Linked DNA regions of Styela clava. The protein of the gene in region 3 purifies or fractionates together with the protein of the main gene of each other region. This does not show direct contact. Links are inferred from orthologs where the notes say so. Each region holds a gene or a part of one and is shown on either strand. Other genes may lie near its edges.

The links.
Region 1: the proteins of regulation of nuclear pre-mRNA domain-containing protein 1B-like (region 3) and DNA-directed RNA polymerase II subunit RPB4-like purify together in Homo sapiens (affinity purification with mass spectrometry; 3 studies listed by BioGRID and IntAct, counting the BioPlex papers as one, with this or other methods). This does not show direct contact. The link is inferred for Styela clava from reciprocal best matches to the Homo sapiens genes RPRD1B and POLR2D.
Region 2: the proteins of regulation of nuclear pre-mRNA domain-containing protein 1B-like (region 3) and p53 and DNA damage-regulated protein 1-like purify together in Homo sapiens (affinity purification with mass spectrometry; 3 studies listed by BioGRID and IntAct, with this or other methods). This does not show direct contact. The link is inferred for Styela clava from reciprocal best matches to the Homo sapiens genes RPRD1B and PDRG1.

Annotation. Positions count from the first base shown.
Region 1 is NC_135263.1:10,962,908-10,969,110, forward strand, and holds DNA-directed RNA polymerase II subunit RPB4-like, read right to left. Parts: upstream 1,550-6,203; 5' UTR 1,541-1,549; coding exon 1,355-1,540; intron 1,131-1,354; coding exon 879-1,130; 3' UTR 530-878; downstream 1-529. Other genes in the region: dehydrogenase/reductase SDR family member 13-like, read right to left, coding at 1,923-2,939. UniProt on the Homo sapiens protein: Core component of RNA polymerase II (Pol II), a DNA-dependent RNA polymerase which synthesizes mRNA precursors and many functional non-coding RNAs using the four ribonucleoside triphosphates as substrates.
Region 2 is NC_135262.1:6,592,802-6,599,980, forward strand, and holds p53 and DNA damage-regulated protein 1-like, read left to right. Parts: upstream 1-4,279; 5' UTR 4,280-4,417; coding exon 4,418-4,822; 3' UTR 4,823-6,650; downstream 6,651-7,179. Other genes in the region: SPRY domain-containing protein 7-like, read left to right, coding at 6,705-7,179. UniProt on the Homo sapiens protein: May play a role in chaperone-mediated protein folding.
Region 3 is NC_135260.1:17,608,866-17,616,256, reverse strand, and holds the start of regulation of nuclear pre-mRNA domain-containing protein 1B-like, read right to left. Parts: upstream 3,026-7,391; 5' UTR 2,884-3,025; intron 2,425-2,883; exon of another isoform or gene 2,377-2,424; 5' UTR 2,298-2,376; coding exon 2,147-2,297; intron 1,911-2,146; coding exon 1,781-1,910; intron 1,536-1,780; coding exon 1,423-1,535; intron 1,239-1,422; coding exon 1,051-1,238; intron 608-1,050; coding exon 481-607; intron 127-480; coding exon 1-126. Other genes in the region: solute carrier organic anion transporter family member 4A1-like, read right to left, coding at 5,868-6,083, 6,183-6,353, 6,515-6,568, 6,811-6,984, 7,173-7,333. UniProt on the Homo sapiens protein: Interacts with phosphorylated C-terminal heptapeptide repeat domain (CTD) of the largest RNA polymerase II subunit POLR2A, and participates in dephosphorylation of the CTD by RPAP2. Transcriptional regulator which enhances expression of CCND1.

The DNA of each region.
Region 1 (6,203 bases), on a different chromosome or scaffold from region 3:
AGCGACCAACCAACTTGCTTTTGCCAAGACTGATGTCGAGAACACGTGACTAGCCGAATGACAACATGTTCTTATAGGCTTTCTCTGCTGAAACGAGTGTGAAAAAATAACCAATCCTATTTTAAAAACGGATGAGGAAGTCGTTCTGCAAACACTAGTATTTGGAGACTACAACGAAAGACGGGTGTCCTAAATATCTGGTGTCTATATATGGACACACATTTTAGTGACATCCCCTAAAGACAACAACACATTGATTGTGCCTTTAGTTCCATTCCAATATATAAAATTCTGTGTCATTCCTGGCATAGGGATTTACATAACGTGGCACGTGACCTCAAGAGAATTTGTTTATGATAATCAAAGTACACCACAATCAGACCGCACTGTCCGCAGCTAATTGAATAATAGCATTGTTGCTTATATACTTTTTCTATGGCTGAACTATCAAATAATAGAGTCCAGGCAACCGGAACTGCTGGTTTCTATATCAACATTGGTGAAGCAATTATAAAATGGATGCAAAATCTCTGCTCCAAGATGCTCTTTAATATCAGAAGCACAGAGGAACTCCTCATATAAAAATAGAAAAACCCCTAGAATATCTCATTATTAAGTACAGTACATCCTCCCTAGAGTTTATGTTATGTGACCATTTTACCTGTATGAGAAAAATCTTCTCTTGTATACATCAGTACTTGGTTTCAAACTATTATTTTGTCTTTACCATCACTCATGCTGTTTTTCAATGATTGCAGTATTAAAATTCATGCAGCCTTCATATAATTTGGACCCCAGACATTTAGAACTGGAACTGAACAATCCAGCAAGGCTGCACTTTGCTCTTAATCGATGAAATTTGTTTCATTTATTCATCATCAAGCCTGGAAACTTCTTTTTAATTGAATATCATTGAGAACTTGTAGTAGTTCCTCATCTTCAAATCGGCCTTCTAGACTGGGGATAAGTGCTTTAGCTTCTTCGGCAGTTTCAGGACATAAGTTCGCGAGAGATGCAAGCTCGAATTTATGGAGTTTCTTTTGAAGTAACAGGCTGCGAACACTTGCTATTGTTTCACGATTTTTAAATCGACTGAAACGCTGTGTGTAGTTCAGTGTTTTCATAAATACCTAAATAAAACAAAAAATAAATGAATAATGGGAACACTAAAAATATGGAAAAAATGTATTTTGCAACAGGATGTTGCTATTTATATCTCAATAATAATAGCAAAGACAACTATCCATAAGTTTCGTTCATCTTGTATGCGCTTTTTATGTAGCTATGCTTCATAAAATATAGTTCAGCATTTTCATATTTATTCTTGTTTCCAATTGTTGGGCAAGATTTATACCTCTGATAATTCTTGTTCTTCTTCAACATTTTCATTTTGCTGTTTCCGATGTTCAAGTAACATATGAACTTCCGAGTTGAGCAAAGTTTCTGCATTCTCAAATTCAGGAGGAAATTGTAGCTGCGATGCATCTTCTTCTTTGTCTTCCAACACAGAACTAAGAGCTTTTGTGGAGGAGGACGTCATGACAGAAATTTACAAAGAAATTATAAAGTATATAAATATTTTATCTGGATAAATATAAGATATCATCTTCAATGCCATTTTGTGGCATAATTTAGGACTTAAATAACTTTATTTCTACAATGGGAAACAAGCATGGCAGAAAAAGGGTTCAATTGGACTAACTATAACACAATCAAGCATTTTTCACTGTTCGTCAAGTAAACAAAATTCAAAATAGAAAATCCAATAAAAAATTCTGCATGCAAAAAAATGAATGTAATGTAGTTCTAAACTGATACCATACATCTTTCACAAAATTGCTATATTTGTGAGGTAGTTTTCCACTGAGAAGACCTGTCCCACCAGTACTGTAATTTATGAAATATCCAACATGCAGAATACTTTAATCGCTTTTTGCAAAATAATCTTCTTCTTTAGTTAATCCAGTCATTTGTTCACATACTTTCCAAAGTTTCAGACCAGTTTCTGAATCTGTTGCAACTGCTTTTAATTGTCTCATCCTCATATTTGAGAAATACCCTCCACTTTTTTCCTTGAGTCCTTTTTGAAGGCAACAGTACAAAATGGTTTGGCAGCCATAAAAAAGTGGACGCATGAAGCAAGCTTTTAGTATCAAGTGGCCAACCTTCATCAAGGTATTATGGATTGCTCCTGTACCAAGTTCACTGGCAATCACACCAGGATGAAGAGCATAGGTTGATATAGAACTGTTTTCTGGATCCTCGGATCTCAGTCTTTTATTCAGTTCTGTTGTAAAATATACATTCATCAATTTTGTATTTGAATATTGTTGAATTATCTGCTGATAAGGGCTTTCCTTGGTAAGTCCTAAATTTATATTACCAAAGTCAATTTTTCCAATTGTATATAAATCAGCACTGACATTTACTATTCGAACATGTTGGGAATCTGATGAACTTTTCAAAAGTGGAATTAAAAGATTAGTTAAAAGAAAAGGTCCGAGTTGATTTGTTGCTAAAATAATATCATTCCCATCATTTGTCATTCCAGGAACAGCAACACCTGCATTGTTTATTAAAATGTCCAGCCTAGGTTCTGTATCAATGAAATTCCTCACAAATCTTCTTACATCCGCAAAATCTGATAAATCCAGCTTCATGTAGTGCACCATATCGTTTCCACTCTGGCTCTTGATATCAAAAATAGCTTCTGACGCACGCTGTTCATTTCTACTGGCGATAATTACCCGTGCCTTGCGTTTTGCAAGTTGTAGAGCTGTCTCTTTTCCTATTCCATAACTTCCACCGGTAATAAGGACAGTTTTTCCGTCAATTTCCAAATCATTCTTGAATACGGGTCCTGTTTTGACAAACTTCATCCACGCATAAGTTATGATAATGAGTAAACAACTCAGCGCTACCAATAGACCACCATCCATTGCATTCGGGAATCCATATAGGCCGCGAGCCGAGGCCATTTATCTTTCAGTTTCGTAGCGCACATCAGGTAACTACCTGAAAATGATTTTAAAATGTTCCTTAGAAATTTAGTAACAAATATTGCCTTGTTCCCACTTCCAAAAGTTGCACGTTTTACAGAAAAGACGCTTTTACTACAATAAATATGTGTTACCATCTGTCCTATTTTCTCTGCTTTTCCGGTATCATGGGCCAATGAACGCAGACTTCTGCACGACGTAACAGTCAAGTTAGTCAGCTGTAGGTGGATCCCCAGTGGTCGGATGAATATCAGATGTACTCAACTGCTCGCTTTTGCGTTGAGTAGCCTTTCCATAGTTTTTTTCAGTTACCGGTAATATTAGTCCAGTTATTCTAAGGAGGTGTTGAAAAGTATAGGTAAGATATTAAACACTTGTATATCCTTGCCATAAATAGCAATTTTAGTTGAGCACTAGCTCATAAGACGTTGTTAAATAGGTACCGTACGGTGCGGTAACTCCAAGGAAGGCTAGACCTAGAATAATATGTCACAAACAACGATATTTTCTGGCTTGCATGAAATGTTTATGATTAATTTAATGACTCTTCTTGACTATTCAGCAGACTTATACTACTATATAGGCCACAGCATATTTGGAAATAGAAATGAATGGCTGTTTCTGTAATGCACGGTTGTGTGAAAGAGAAGAAATTAATCAATTTTACTAATGTCGGTTGGTCTAAATCTAAATTCATAGAGTCGACAAGAACCTGGGAAGCAATGATAAGTTATGCCGGAGTGGAAAGAAAGGTAGCATTGGAAATGATTGAGAGGTGAGAAATGAAGTTGTAGACAAACAGTTGATGTTTCAAAATATAGTCTATAGTCCATACTCATACTGTCATAGGACATTTCAGACTGTGATATATCAAAATTTAGTGTAGATATAGTCTAGTAATGGTATGCAAACACTGCTGGACTGTAGAACATGCAATGAGCATATATACGCTCATTTAGTACATCAGATAAAATGCATTATGTATTCAAGGTATTAGTTAGTATTTAGGGGTATTTTTAAAATCATGCTGCTCCAAATATTATTTTCTTCCTTATTTTAGATACTGTACTACAAAAGAAAACGGCAATGTTCCACCAATCCGACCTAACGCAGGCTCTGATCCCTGCTGCTATCAGTGCTATAAAATGGATTAAACAAGAAGTCTTGAAGCTTAAAGGTATATGAGAATCATAATAGTTGCAAACAGCTTAGATGGGCTATTCATATTGAAATACTTTAGCACTTTTCTGCAATTGGAACTGCCCATCAAATTCATGTTGGAGACTTCATTGAGATTTTCAATTCATTTTTTTCCCTCGACTATGAAGATCTTTTGAGGTTAACGAGGTATTAATAAATAAAGCTGAGGAATTTGAAGAGGATATGAAGAATGTAAATGATACCAGGGCACGTCTATTTAACACTGTCAAACATAAGGATTATACTCTCCACCCAACAATGATTCACTGAAGAAGCATGTGGCCCTCAAATCAGTTCTTGAGTTGGCAAACTGCAAAGAAAAATAGTCAAAATAATTTATGAAAGTGTGGCAAAATCAACTTAAATTGCACAGATTTTTGTTTTTGTATTGACTGCAGAAATCACAGTACACCTATAGAGGAAAAGTCGAATTTTGAGATAGTGGATTTCGAAAACAATTCAGAAGAAAGTGAATTAGATATTACAGTTGATTTAATAAGTATCATACATTTGTTTTTTTTTTCGGACATTTGTTAGTGTCGTAGTCCTGTTTCTAGAAATATTATTGCCTTTGTTCAAATACATAACCACATAAACTAAAAAAAGATTAATTGTAAATTGTAATATTTCTGTTCACTATGTTATGTACATATTGTACATTCATTTAATTTTCTTGACTTTTGCGGTAAATTTCTAAGTGAGAAATAACTGATTTATTTGTGTTTTCGTGCTCACGATGTTAATTTGTGACTTCATTGCTTAAAAATAAATACGTTTGATACTTGATAGCTTCTATAAAATGGATGTAGCTTTTTATGCTGTTCTTGTTGTAAACTGCTTGTGGTTATTACATAAAATTTATTCTCAAATGTGAATCAGCGTTGTTGGTGTCGCTGCTTTCGAGGTCACTCCCGACTCCTGTCACACAATTAAAGTATTTTTTGTTGTTGGTTACATGTATGCCATATTTTTCGTAATCTACCTAATAAATTATGATTGACTGAGGAAGTCCGATTTTGGTCAGGCAAAACATTACAGGAATACATTTGTGTTAGTGTGCTGTAGGGCTCTCGAATTGTATAGTTCTTATGTATGCGTTGTAAACTTATGGTTATTGAATTTCCGGGAACCTCTTATATTCAATTTCGCACCAGGATTGTGGAACAAGCTGTAATGCGTTCATTATGTTCGTTTTCACACAAAACTGAAGAATTTATTTAGTTACCAGATGTGCGCTACGAAACTCATTTTCTGGGCGTTTTCATGGTTTCGTCTCACGGCCCATATCCGTGGTAAGGATCTACAAGTGTTTAATAATTTACTTATACATTTTTCAACAACGTCTTAGCATAACTTAACTAATAATAACTAAACAGGGCTATGGAAAGCCTGCCCAACTCAGCGCAAGGTCGAGCAGAAATAACTAATATTCATCCGCTCGCTAACAGCTGGTTTAATTCAATTGTTACGTCATGCAGAAGTTGTAGAGTTAAGAGGTTCTACAGGTCCTATTTCTGATTATTGGGCTGTCTTGTCAATCTACTTCCGTAGCTAACTCTCGACACAGTAGTAACGCACACATAAACACATCCAACTTGTATGAAAGAACTTGTAATGAAAGTATATTTACAGTATATACAAGTCACAGTCCAGTAAAATTCCACAATCAGGTTAAAAGTTCCACAGTAGATAGATAAATTTCCACAGCAAGTATAACGGCAGTGTAACACAGTGAATGTCAAAACTTGATGTCTGTATGTAAATGTATTGTATGTGTATTGTATGATGTGTTGTATGATGTGGTTACAATATATTTGTGTCTCCAGCCCAACAACAGTACTTAAATTTAGCTACAAGACACAAAAACAATAAAAGAGTATAATTAGCCTTCGACATACAACTCAATTAGAACCTATATTACTAAATAACCCTAAACATCCTAACAATCCTAAATTAGCATAATCAAAACCCTACAATTTGCAACTCAATGCCGCAAAGTAATCG
Region 2 (7,179 bases), on a different chromosome or scaffold from region 3:
CCGAGAAAGTTCGATCCACCCTCCAATCATTAAAAAACGTTTTCAAGTTCCTAAGTTCTGGAATGTGGATAATAAAAATGACCCTGCACCGACTTCCCTGTTTACGTCCGTAATATTGACTAATCTGCAAGTTGTCACTGGTTGTGTAACAATTGGATTTTTAGCAGCCGCTCAGTCACCTTTTTTACTCGAACAGACTTTCATGCATGGCGATGAACAGTAGCTTGTTTTCGTGATTTTGCATGCTATTTGTAACTTTTGTGATGGGAAACATATAACAGTATGTGGACGCCAATTTTATAAACATATAAACCAGTATGTAAGCGCCAACTGGCAAAAAATCTCAAGATAAACATCGTTCTGTTAGTCGCTAGTTCGCTGTGCAAAATATAGGGAGAATTTTTCAGGGTCAAAGGTTAAGGAAACATTCATTATTGCACAGTTTTTCAGACAGCAGGTGTCAGAATTGAGCAGAGCAGGTTTCGTAGGACAGGAAAGCTCCACTAGATGTACCAAAGCTTTGCTTATTTATTTTATGTCATTATATTTTCGTATGTAATACGCTAATACCGGCCTCACAATGGTGATTTGAATAAGTAACATGGTTTCTCAAAAGTAGTGTCCAGTTTACAATTTCCCCCACATAACACCGATGGGTGTGCCATTCCTGAACACTGATCTCTTGTTTATGACTCCCACTACCGGTACGGTACCTAATTTTATACATGCTGTCTCAAACTCCAAAATAAACGGGCTATAAACTCTATCTGCTGACTCATTTTCTGCTTTTTTCATATCGTGCGACCAATTCTGATAGTTTGATTACTGGTTTAAATGAAATGTTTAAGAGCTCATATGACCTTGGACGGTCTTGCTTACTACGGTACCACCGTACTTCACTGACCTCCACATAACCTTTAAATTGGATAATGCAGTAAATAAAAAGAAGTCTGTCACTTTCTCTGTGTCAGGCAGTCAGAAACACAATTCTGTAACCTTAAACCTGCTAACCCATGAACTCATTGCGCGCTTTTCTTCCTAGTCCATTCTCCTGAAATTTTGAAACTGACTACTGGTAGCTATTCTCATACAAAACCATTGCAGTTCCAGCATATTGTTTGTCATATGATCATCTCGTTAATCAAAACAAGCTGTATGGGAATATCAAATAGTTGTTTATTCTCATATATAACTAGGTTAAATGCTGATTTGTCTGGCTTATTTCACAATCAAAGTATTCACTGCAGTAAATTTATCATGCTCGATATATTTTAACAACATTCTTAAATTGGCCCTAACCTTATTTGCTGTTCTTGTCTGGTGAAGTTTAAAACTATATAGATAATTTAATCATGATTCTCAATCACCAATTTTGTAGTGGCGCCTACATGACCCTTTGTCTTCATGCACTTGTTAGCACAACTAGGATAAAGCTCGATAGCGATAAAGCTATTGTACGTCAATCATAAATTAACGGGTACTCCTGAAGTATGCGCACCAAGATGTCGCATAACCTGAACCCTAACCTGGTACACAACTTTAGTTCAGGTTGTGCGCCATCTTGGTGCGCATACTTCAGGAGGTTCAATTAATGATTACCGATTACCGACTCTGCTGTATGCAAGCTTTCTTCAATCGACTGTTGAGAGTGCTGATAAAAAAAATATGAGTTTTGAGTCTTTGTAGAAATTTTGAATTCTTCTTCCTCAAGGCGTTAAATACATGGCAATTCGCTATTATTACGATCCTGTCTGGCTCTAACAAGTCTCGGAATATCAGTATGAAATAGCCGAAGGTTCAAAGCACATCATTATAATTTTATTGTAAATATCATTACACATATTCTGTTTACTCTGGCTTCAATTTCTCACATTCCTACCGTGTTTCCTCGAAAATAAGACTGGGTGGTATTTCAATTTCTTCCGAAAAATAACACTAAAGCTTATTTTCCAGGATGTCTTATATTTTCATTTATCAAAAACAAATTCACAAAGTAGAGAATTACGAGATTTTCAAATATAGAAAATATGAAATCCGATATCCATTGACTTATAAATAACACGTTTTTATTCGAAACAATGTTAGTGACGTTTTCATTTTTGACTCCCCTAAGTATCAGGCTGCAAAATAGTAAATAAACGTAGTAGCAGTTAATTTTTCATTGTCAATATATAGCTGATTATATAATATATACACAAAAGTCATACCAAACATTACTATTAGGCTGTAATCATAGATTCAACCAGTCGATCAAAACTAACACTCAACATTTTAGGGAACGAAATTGTGACAAAATTAACTGTGCTGAAAATATTGTGAAAAATGAGAGGTTGTCATTTGTGACTTTTAAAGACTATAATTTTGCTTTTTATATTCTCCTTATTATTGAGAAAATAAGAAAATTTCTAATGACTATCTATATTTATACAAAGTATATATAAAACTAGTAGAAATTCCATCGGTTCGCTAAAATTTAGATTGTTCATATCTGAAACAATTAACTGGCTAACTAATCCCATACCCGACATAGACTGGTAGCTTAAGGCGAGGCCATGGTTTGCCATATGATTAGGCAGTCTTATCAGCTTTACTTCCACCCGGGATAAATATGAAAATCCTATCTTATGTTTCTGAATTTAATTGTGAAAGCTAATTTTGTACTGTCTTGGACTCAATACATTCTGTCTGTCATTTACACATACCTCAGATTTTTTTTATTTTTTTTTTGGTATTATTTTCAGAGGTATAAGCAATAACCGTACTCATGATAGAACTAAAATAAGGAAAATTGAAATAAAATTATGGCCTAACCCTAACCTGGTACACATACAACGTTCCGGTGTTCGCCATCTTGGTGTACATACCACAGGAGTTTCAACACACATTTTCAACATGTTTGCCTCACTATCTGTTATTAGTAGCTAGTCATTTTTGACAAATTCTAAAAAGGTGGCTCAGCTTAAAAAGTTCGAGAACAACTGGTGTACAGTATTGATGAAGAGCCAATGACTGAAATGAAACGGTTTATCATAGCTTGTATTTGATATTCTAAATTCCAGATTGGACAAATTATTTGTTTTATTTGAAAATTATTTTGAGCAATTGGAATCTGACATTATACCCAATTTAATTTTTCAAACTAAAAAAAATGAACCGACCACCAATCAAATCGCTGTTCATCTTAATATTTCCAAACTCAAATTTATTGAATATACATCTGATATTTTTAATATGACCCAATTTGGAATGTTCAGTACCCAATTTGGATATTTCAGATTCAAAAATATTAATTTGTAATTACATTCAAAATTGTAAGCTTTTCGGTTTTGGCCATTCCTTCATGTGATTTTTTTATTCATTTAATTAAATAATATTTCATGATTTTGCCTCTTTCAACATGATTTAAGACATTTCTCGAATATTAAATTTTTCAATTTTAGCCATACAATTTATCTTTCTGTTATGAAACTGGGAAAATTGAAAATGAATTTTCAATCAATAATATATCAAAATTGACTGAATAATTTGTCATAGAGGGCGCTAGAGTTTAATTCAGGGTTGTTAATATTATAAGGGCTGGTGTAACTTATGTGTGATATCATGTGTGTTATAGAGGTATAAGAAATCTTTTCTGCGCTGTTAGATTCAGCACAATTCTATATTATTTTGTATGAGAATATAAGTCAGATTTATTCCATGTATACTGATTTGATATTCGCTTTGACTATTATTAAAAAATTATTAATATGGTGTGACAAATAATTTTTTTTAATTCATTTTTTTAGCTCAAGTATTTCACACTTTTTTACTATATCCTTGTGGTTAGATGTGTGAATAAATTTGAATTACCGATAGTTAACTTTTAACATGTAGTAACGCCCTTTCTTTTCAATTCTGTACATTTTATACCTTACATAGGGTTTTATTTGCTCTCCTGATTCAGTAATCAGTTTTTATCTATTTGTTTTAAATTCTATTTTAGAATTAATTTTTTGATGAAACTGCTAGATAAAAATTAGCATAAGTTTCTTAGTTGACATTCCAAAATAATCCTATGCCTGAAGTGAAATACACAAAGCTTTCTCGGCGTTACGGAACACCTGGAGAAGAAAAATACATTGATTTACAGTTCAAAAAACCGCCACAAAAAATTCCTTGGCGAGCGATTCGGGCTGCTGTTATTTTATTTTTACTTGGAAGTATTCTCATCATTGTTGGAGCTCTTCTAGTTTCTGGACATATTGACGAAAAATATAGTGATCGAACGTGGCCCGTTCTTATTCTTGGAATACTGACATTTGTTCCGGGGTTTTATCACGTAAGAATCGCTTACTACGCTTGGAGAGGATATAAAGGTTATTCGTTCGAAGATATACCAGAGTATAATTGAGTAGTTGTATTTATTTAAAATCAGAAAATGGCAAGGGATCCTGATTCTGTTTTGAAATATTTGACTGAAGTTGAGGAGCAAGCCGAAGATATTCTCTCCGATAAACAACAAATTGTCGACTTGGACAAACGAAGAAATATGAACAGAGAAGCATTAAGAGCTATAAAGAATGGCGTAGCCGCACCCAATAAATCTAAAACCTGGTTAAATTCTGGTGGAATGTTTATCAAATTACCGTCAAGCGCAGCAACTGATATGCTCACTACAGACCAACATTACCTTGACGAAGAGATCAACAGTGTTCGAACAAAATTACATGATAAAGTTAATAAAATGCGAGATGTTGAAGGACAATCTGATTTAAAAGGATTTGACTTGAATGCCTTAAGTAAAACTGAATTAGAGGGTCTTCAGAAAAGTAGGCTGCTATGAAAAATAAATCTACTTTTTGGCAAAAATTTGTAAGAATAAATAATCACCTTAAATTATAATCTGGGTGTTGGAAAACGCACCATTTGACCCTAATAACGACACTGTGGAAGTTAACAATCTGTCGAATATTTTGATAGGATTTTCACATTTACATTCACACATTTCACATTCTTTGGGAGAGGATAACTGAAAAAAGAAAAAAACGGCTAAAATATAATATGGCGAAGCAAGGCTTTTCGTTTGGTAAACAGTCCTATTGCGTATAGGAATAGTTAACCAGTAATTTGTTTCAGATGCGTGAACTTGATGGTGTAGGCTAGGGCTACTCAACTATTTTTTACCAAAGATTCGTATACAAAATTACTGAGTTATAGTCTTTTCAGAAATTATATTTAGACATTTTTAAATGCACACTTTCTTAGCTGGCTATTGATTATTCTCTGATCGAGATAGTCCAGCGCATTCATAAGCAAATTATACAGTACCTTTAAATCTATAAAAGTCATTTAATAAAAGGAACATTCACATATCCAAAGTGGCGCCAATGATCAGAAATAAAGAATCGGGTGCGGTCCGAATCTAATACTCGAAAGGTGCGAATTCGGACCGCTGTCCGCCAGTTGAGTAGCCCTCGTGTAGGTCATTGGCTTCTATCATCTAATGTTATTTCAGTGTAAAAATGTCAAATTTTGCTGTAAATTGTAATTTTTAAATATTTGATGCCCAAAATAAATGGAATATTTAAATACTTTCTAAATTAGTTTTATTCGATTCAGTGAATAATCAATTTTACGAATCATTTAAAATGTTTTTAATTGAATAAATTGAATTTTGCACAAATTATCGTTCATAGGTAAAAGGTGCAATTCATGAAAATTGATATAGTCTTGCGCTTGGTGTTTGAAAGAAATCTTGTCATTTACCGATCCCCTAAAAACGGTCGCAGAAGAGTATTATTAAAAATGATGACCATTACTGTTATGTATTACTTTTATTATTAACAGTAAGTAGTTATCAAAATCCTTTGAATTCATCCTTGCTATCACTGTCAGTTCGATCTTTAGCTGTTGGAATTAAGTTAGCATAATGTAATTTTGTTTGAGTGCAATCAGAGGTATGGGCCAAATTTTTAGTGCGATCAGGTAATACGGCGTAATCATTTTGCGAGCCACGGCCTCTCGTCTTGTTACCAGTCCATGTCGGGTATGAAATTAGTTTGCTGGGTATTTATTTCAGATGCATGGAAACGTATTTATCTGTATTTGTTGTCCAATAACAGAAATGTTACAATCGTCATCTGCTTGGTACTAATCTGAATTGGATAATAATAAGTATTTAGTATATACTGAATATGTCACTAATGTTTTTCATTGTTACTACCATTTTTCCATAATATAGCATATATAGCATTCCATAGTAGCAAAATGACTGTTAGGCCTAATTGATTGTTTATCAGGAAAATTTATAAGGTCATGTGCATTAAATCCCAATTAAAGGGGACTCTGGGCTACTGCCGAAATGTTACGAGATGCTAAGAGTATATAGTTTTGTAATGTTGCATTGTTTACCAGCAGATGCCATTTACTTGAAATTTGAAACAAATCATGTCAATGCAATCAGGCTTTTTGGCTTAGAAGTTTATTTGTCTAGCCAACAGACCTCAAATGCTGAACACAGATATGTGTTAATAAGTAGCAAAACAATTGTTTTTAGTTCTGGTAACTCTTAAACTTTTATTAGCTAATTTTTTGTGTCTATTCATTTTGACCCTAACGGATTACAATATTTCTAATTCCATTTATTACTTTCTCATTATTTATTATTTTAGCTTATTAGTATTAGATGTAAAGATTTTTAGTTATCTTCCAAACCTGCGGACTCCATGGCGCTAACACTTGATTGGTTATGGAGATGCTTTGGATTTTCTTCTAATTCAAGAACAAATCAACAGAATTTATCGAATAATTCTGTTGTTCTCAATACAACAACAATGGGAACGGGTACGGTGATTGTTAAAAACGGTAAAAGGATATGCGGTACCGGTGGGGCTCTCGCTACAGCTCCTATTGCCCAAGACAAAGGCTACTTTGAAGCAAAGGTACAAAGCTCTGGAATATGGGGAATCGGACTTGCACTCGCCAACGCAAATTTAAATCATGTTCCATTAGGAATGTGTGAAAAAACATGGGTATTCCGACATGACGGCACTGTGTGGCACAAAAATAATGAAATATGCAGGACAAAAAATTTACCAGCTGAGGGTGACGTTGTTGGTGTTACATTTGACCATATAGAACTGAAATTTTACCTTAATGGCAAGCCATATCCTTTTGTAGTTAGCGGTGTAAAAGGGAATG
Region 3 (7,391 bases):
AATCAGACAACATTCTTGCTACTTGTCTTCTATCATCAATTTCAGCAACAAGTCGACCATTATATTCGGCTAAAAGCAGACAAGCTTCATCCACTATTGCCGATAACTTTTCTGCACTCTCAATATCTAAATTATGACATAAATATGTTATAGTAACAAGAAGGACTGATATTTCACATTCCACAATCTACTTAGATATACTGAAGTATGTTAATATAATGTGATAGCCAATGTGCATATGAAAAATTTTATGCAAAGCCGAGAGAAAACCATAAGATATAAGTAGTTCAACATGTGATGTTGCCTACAATTAAATATTTAGAACGAGAATTGTTTTATAAGTCTGATCACATAATTTAAACTGCACTATTTAGTTAACCCATGACATGGCAGCATTAGTATTACATCTCAATAAATAACATCAACTAGAATTCAGTAGACATCTCAGTACAATAGGTTTTCAGATGTAGAAAAACCTACCAGCTATCTTATCCAGTCTTGATATATCTTGAACCTCAGGAGGCAAACTTGCAATTTTTTCACGAACTGCTGCATCTGTAGAGGCCGCATTCTCCAATTCTGTTAGAGCTTTTACTAGATCTTCAGCCTGGATGATACAACAATATAAAAATAGGTTGAAGATTCTCTTGTTATTTTCTAAACCTGCCTGACAAAATTCTTATGGGAGTTATGAATATGATGCTTTAGGTTTGAAATTTCTTTCACGTTGAGGCTTAACTGTATGAATATCATATTACAGACAATGTTATTCTAAACATTTTGTCTTTCTCCTACTAGATGAGTCGGTAGATCTCATTCCTACGTTGGAAGGTTCCGGATTATCTTAATTTCTATGCTATAAAATTTTACCCTGAGTACCTCGTTTTTCTTCTGGCAGTCTTGTTTTGGATTGTTTCAGTAAATGTATGAATTTGGTGAATCAAAGTACAAAAACCTGATCATACTCACAAATATTTAAATTACTTCATTAAGCTACAGACTTTTACATACTGCTGCGAGTTTTCAAATGATGCTAAATAAAAAATCAACCTCTGGAGGATCCCTCGGTGATAAAGTTAAATAATCATCATCCTCTTCTTCTGTTATTAATTCATCGAGTCGGCTTTTCTTTCTTACAGGTTTTTCTTCTTCTGGAGCTTTTGATGATGAATCAGCAACTGCAACTTTCTTCGTTGGCTGTACTTTCTTCGTTTTCGGTTGCTTTGTTTGTTTTGATACTGTTGGAAATGGTCACAAAGTAATTTCACTATTTTTAATCATGGAATTATGAATTTACATGACCAAATCTTAAAACCCCAAAGTTCTTCGCAATATTCGAACAAACAAATATACTCATTTTTTATTATAATGCAGAGCAGCATCAATATGTATGAATCATGGATGAAAAATCCAATTTATTACCTTTCCCTATAGACTTCCTTATTTGATTGACATATTCCATTTCAAATACAGCCCTCTCTTGCCAAATGTCAAGAATACGAAGAACGGATTTCATTGTTTTTTCATCAGCATGTCTGAAAATAAATTTGTTTTGGATATCGAGGGATAAATAGCAATTATAGCAAACTAAGCATTACATTGGTAGATGTTCATCAGATAATTAAGTTTCCAATTTTATCTATACAATTTGCTTGTACCAGAATGAACATTTTTTTGAATTCCACAGATGAAATCTAAAATTATTGTGGATTTACATTGGAACTTATAAACGAAAAAAAAACATATAAAATTAAATAATACATAAACAAATGGTATATACTTAGCAACGTGAGTAAACGCTGTTATCAGTACTCCACCAAATGCTTTATGAAACTCTGGACCTTTCTTTTTGCAATTTTGCAGAATGTCATTTGCAAGGTAGAGGAAGGTCAACTTTTTGCTGGTTTTTGCTAAAATGAAGATATATTTTAATATGTTGTTTGAAAATATATCATACTTAGTTATACCCGATCCGTAATAAAGTTTCACTAGCCTACTTTCTTACAAATTGTCTGTTTTGAAAAAAAATGGGTTTACTGCTAGTCCCTCCTGTTCTTTTACAATAATTCACAACAGAATGATCTTATGATACTGTGATAAATAAGTCAAGAAAATTGTTTAAACTGTCAAAATCATTTCACATTACCTTTGATTAGTTCTGTTTGCCAAACTTGTATAATTGTTTTTGAATGACGACGGTGATGTATCAGCCACAAAGACAGTGTCTGAATGATCTGCATTGAGTTAGTCAATTCAGACAACTTGTCCACAAGTGCAGCTTCTGAGAATGATGACATGTTGGACCGTTACCTGGTCACCAACTATGTCTATCTAACAAAACCCGGAAACCAGGAATACAGCCAGAACCATGCAGTACTGTAACGAATAATATCAGTATATTAATATTATAGGCTAATTCTATACAGACTAAAAGATCAAAAGAAGGCAATTGTGAATTAGGCACTTTTCAGTCATTTTGAAAATTGGCAAAATAAGGCTGAAGGAGACTGAACTAACATGTGAACATGGGCTAGATTTTAGCCACACAAGCAAAGCCGTCTACGCACGGACAATTAGAATTAGGATCGCATTCTGTCATATAGGTCATTATAGGTACCGTACCGTACAGTTTTAGCTGCATTGGTACCATATTGTCCAATTTCAATTTCAGAATTTCTCCTTTTTAGGAAAAATGAAAACCCACGAGTTCAAATTTCAGATAATACTGTAAGTGTAATACAGTAATAAATGTCACGCCGTTAGTTTTATTGGCACCACTTTGCTCGAGATACGATACGGTAACAATGCATAATTTGCCATACCTATCTAATATCTATACTATTCATAAGAGAACCAAACTAGACAAATTTGCGACTTGAATACCTACTTTGGCTAGAATCAAGTCTCACGAAGTTATCATCTAACTGCAGAACTGGCAATTGAAATAGCCAGAGTCTACCGTGTGCGCACCAGCTTACCGGAGTTTCGAGGCGCAGTTCTTACCACTTCATGGCAGCTCCTGCCACGAACGTACCGCGGCGTCTCTTGCCATGGTTTCATCGCTGTATTACCGGTATATTTACAAAGTCATGTACAATATTGTAGTTTATCATGCGGAAATATATCGACTTAAACCCAACCCCAAATACATCAAAACTGTACTTATAAAAAAAGCGTTCCAACTTACCCGATATGGTACTCCTGAAGTATGAGCAGCAAGATGCCTCACAACCGGAACCCTAAGCTGATACACGACCTGAGTTCAGGTTGTGCGCCATCTTGGAGCGCATACTTCAGGAGATACCCTAATATTTATCACCATCAGTGGCAGCCCTACTATTACAGCCGACATGCCATGGTTACGGCAGCAAAATTGATGGTATTCGATTTGCTGTTAAAAAGTCAGTCGCAATGGGTTTGGTCCAGTCGTTGGTTTGGTCATAGCGCAATGGTTTGGAAATCCCGCCATGGTTTTAATGTAGCTCTAGACGCCACAAAATACTTGAAATTGCACTTAGGAGTTTCCGAGCATAGAATGTATTGGCATAGTTGATTCAAGTTTGTATGTATCTTAAACCACTTTATCATCATTCACCAATGCCGAATTAGTGTAGTTCTTCATGACTTTTGACTATCCAGGCCACTTCATCACATTGCATCCCACACGTTGTCTTTTTGGACACGTAGTGGACATAACGATCGTTTCAATATTATGTTGTTGTTGTTGTTCTTGTTCTTTGACACGTTCTTAAAAAGTCGCTTTTCTCTTCGAATACTGGACCAATTGCTTTGAAATTTTCAGTGGTTGAAGAATAAAATTTTCTCCAGAAGGCTATATTTTTTTTTTCGCTATGACGTCATCAAAATTATGTGACTCTACGTGTCCATATATTTGAGCATAGCTCTCTTGTTTTATAAGGTTTCTCATTGTGGATTCGAAACAGTTTTGTAAAAATAAATAAATGGTGAAAAATTAATAAACATAGAACATAGTCACGTATAATAAATAAATATATTCATAAACATAATCCAGTATTATCAAGTAATTTAAATTGTTCCATTGTTGATTCCAGATAAAGTTCACCATGTTTAACAGTAAATAGACATTATTTCACATGTTTTTTAATTATCGTTGGCAGAAAAATAAAAATTAATACAATTATTCATAGGTTCTTGCAGATTACGTCAGTCCTTTTGCGTTCAGCACATTTCCAAAATAAATGAGATATAAATTCCGGTGCTTGAGAACAAAATACACATAAATCATTTCCAGAAATATGTTTAATCCTTGGTTTAACTTTAACTGAAACATTAGTTTATAATTAAAGGTTTTTATATTATTAGATAATATTTTACAATGAATATTTAAACATGCTTCTTCCAAGCAACCATCTCTAAGAAACACTATCCTTTCACCACCACTTACCACACGTTATCTTTGTATCAGATTGAATGGATCATTATTAGCTGAAGTATTTTAAAAGTACAACATCCCGAAAGTTCCAAACATTCGTCAATTTTTTTCAATAAAGTTTGTGTTTTTTGTAACTTTTTTACGAAAGTGTGCTGGTGAGCGGGCACATGATTTTTCTCATATTTAAAACTGCATTAAAGATTTTGCTCGCTTCCCGGGATTCTCCATTTTTAATTTGTGTGTATTATTTATTTACCACCCCCCCCCCCAAAATGAAGTCCCCCCATGGGCATACTACTTCTATAATAGAAGCACTTCTCTATATCATCAACCAAGCAGTAAAAAGCATGGGTTCATCAATTATCCTAATATCTGCGCTATTTCAAATGTGATTAAAGCTAAGATATATAGAATAATATCGTAATTTTTCAAATAAATTGTTTCCTCTTTGAATATATTCTATTTCTATATTAAATATTAAGAAAAAATTCTGAATAGTTAGGTTGGTGTGATAGAGCTAGATTCAAGACTTTGCGCACATATATATTGGAATAAAACTATAAAGTCAAGTCATTTCTTTTCAGGGACTCTAACACTGCTTCAATGGATTCCTTAACGTTGCAATAAAAGTCTACTGACCAAGAAATGTTTGTTGTCCACTCGCACCGGAGGTGCTCTGTATTGTCACTGGCTATATATTGCCATATCTCATATTCTATTAAAGTCTCCCACTTGAATACTAATGAAAATTTTCAATTTGCGGAAACCTGTACCGACTTTTATTTTTATGTCTCTTAAATAATCATTCAAAAAATTTAAAAAATAGTGCATGACGACATTGCTGTAATAAAACTTATTTACAATTGGATTGTCTATTGCCATAAACATTATCACATTAATATGAAATTAAATATTAAATGCTAGAATAAATAAATACTATAGTTTAATAAAAGTAGATTGAAGATAAATTCAGTTGATGGAATTGGTTACGAAATTGCACTGATTCACATCTAGCTCAAATTAATTTATCATCCTAGCAAATTACTTAGCCTATATACGTAGGGTTAGTAACGTCATTTCGGCAGTATACATACTATTTTCGAAAAATAGTTTGAATGTCGATTTTTGGAATGCTTTCAGATTAACTAAATCAAGATTATAGTTTTTATTAAATGAGAAGGAATCTTTTCATTTATGCAAAGACGAAGATTGATATTCGTTGTCAATGAAATCATTTTTTCAATTTGTCACGTAATTATCGTCATCCCAAGAAAGGCATTTTTTCGAATTGCTGCACTAACGATGCCCTGGAAATATTGTTTCGGCAGACATTTTCGTCGTTTCTCGTTTGCAGTGTTCTTGCCGGAATATATTATGAGGTACACTATGGCTGAATATCTTTTCAGTCTATTCTCGTTAGCACTTAATTTTAGTTAACCGGCACCACGTTAAATTACGAATCGGGCACAAAGTTCGGATTATCATGGCTTCGATCCTCCGGTAAAGTTTTCTTGTGATCAACTTCAGTCATGGCGATTCCTTGAATTGCGTCAGCTGATTTTGTAGGCGAACACGTCGTTTTAACAGCGGTACTCTCGGATTCGTCGGCTTTCGGTGGCGGTGATTTGTAGGTCTTCCACGCCAACGCGAAAAAAAACACCGAAAACGCCTGTGGAACAAGACATATAATAATGTTTGAGTATTTTTAACGAGTATTTTTATCCTTCAATGCAATTAACGTATGGTATTGCAACATATATGAACGTACCTTCACCACTGTTAGTACAATCGTCATATACTTTGACATATCTTGGTTGTTATATATTTTGCAAGATCCACAGACTCCGCATTGCATTCCCCATACCGTACAGGACAGATCTAAAACTGCTCCGAGTATATTAGGCATGGGGACACTTCCGAGCAGTCGTAGGATCAGCCACTGAAAAAAATTTGTTGTAGGTGTTAAAACGAACGGTGGTTCAAATTTGCGAACATTTGCTTTCGCGAACATATAAAAAAATCAGCAATAAATGTGAAAACTTTTTGAAACACCTAATCAAAATATGTGGCAAATACCAGAAAAGAAGTTTAATTAAGTACCTGTATTCCAATTGCAAATGAACGCTGGAAATAAGGGACAGCCCGAAGAGAAGCCTGTAAATGATAAGTTGAATTATTTATAATAGAAAATTCAAAAAACATATAATATGTTTTGTTCAAAAATAACTTCCTGGTATATAGATTCCGTAACATTTCAAATATAGGTAGGAAATAAAGGTTGCAAATTTGGCGGTGGAATGACAGTCAATGTCAATTTATTGGTTAAAAAACATTTATAGATGGGTGTTATTGCATAAAATATAACAGTTTCGTATTTGTTGGAAAAGTCTTCTTACCTGTAATGCAGGTTGCGCACTTAAAAATATGAAAAACACTGCTAGTGCAATGATGACTGCAAATAGTCCCATGTTTTGACATGTATCTTGTACGCATTTTCCCTTAATTGCTGACGCCATTGAAACTTCGCTGATTGAGGATGAATCCAATACTCCTGAGCAGTTGTCAAAATTCTGTAAAAAGGATGAATTGGTTGGATCATATTGCTCCCTACTGTTCCGTGATACGTATCCAGGGGTTACGAGCCATTTCCGAAGAAAATTTCGATCCCTTGTGACAATGTCGTTAAAAGAGCAACATGAAACAACTCTGCTAAACTATCACGCATTTTATGAAAAATAAACAAAAAACTAATACATACCATCGCACTGACTTGGTCACATCCCGCGTCGCAGTAAGATAAATATGTCATATTGTCCGCGCCACATACCGGATCGTAAAATTCCGTGCTGCATCCACACGCAGTTGTGTTACAAATGATGTTACTTTGGCCATTGTACGGTATGGTTACTCCGGCAATTTCTAAAAAAAAACGGTTGAAATGAACAAGCCTGAAATATTATTAGAAACGCGTCCATTT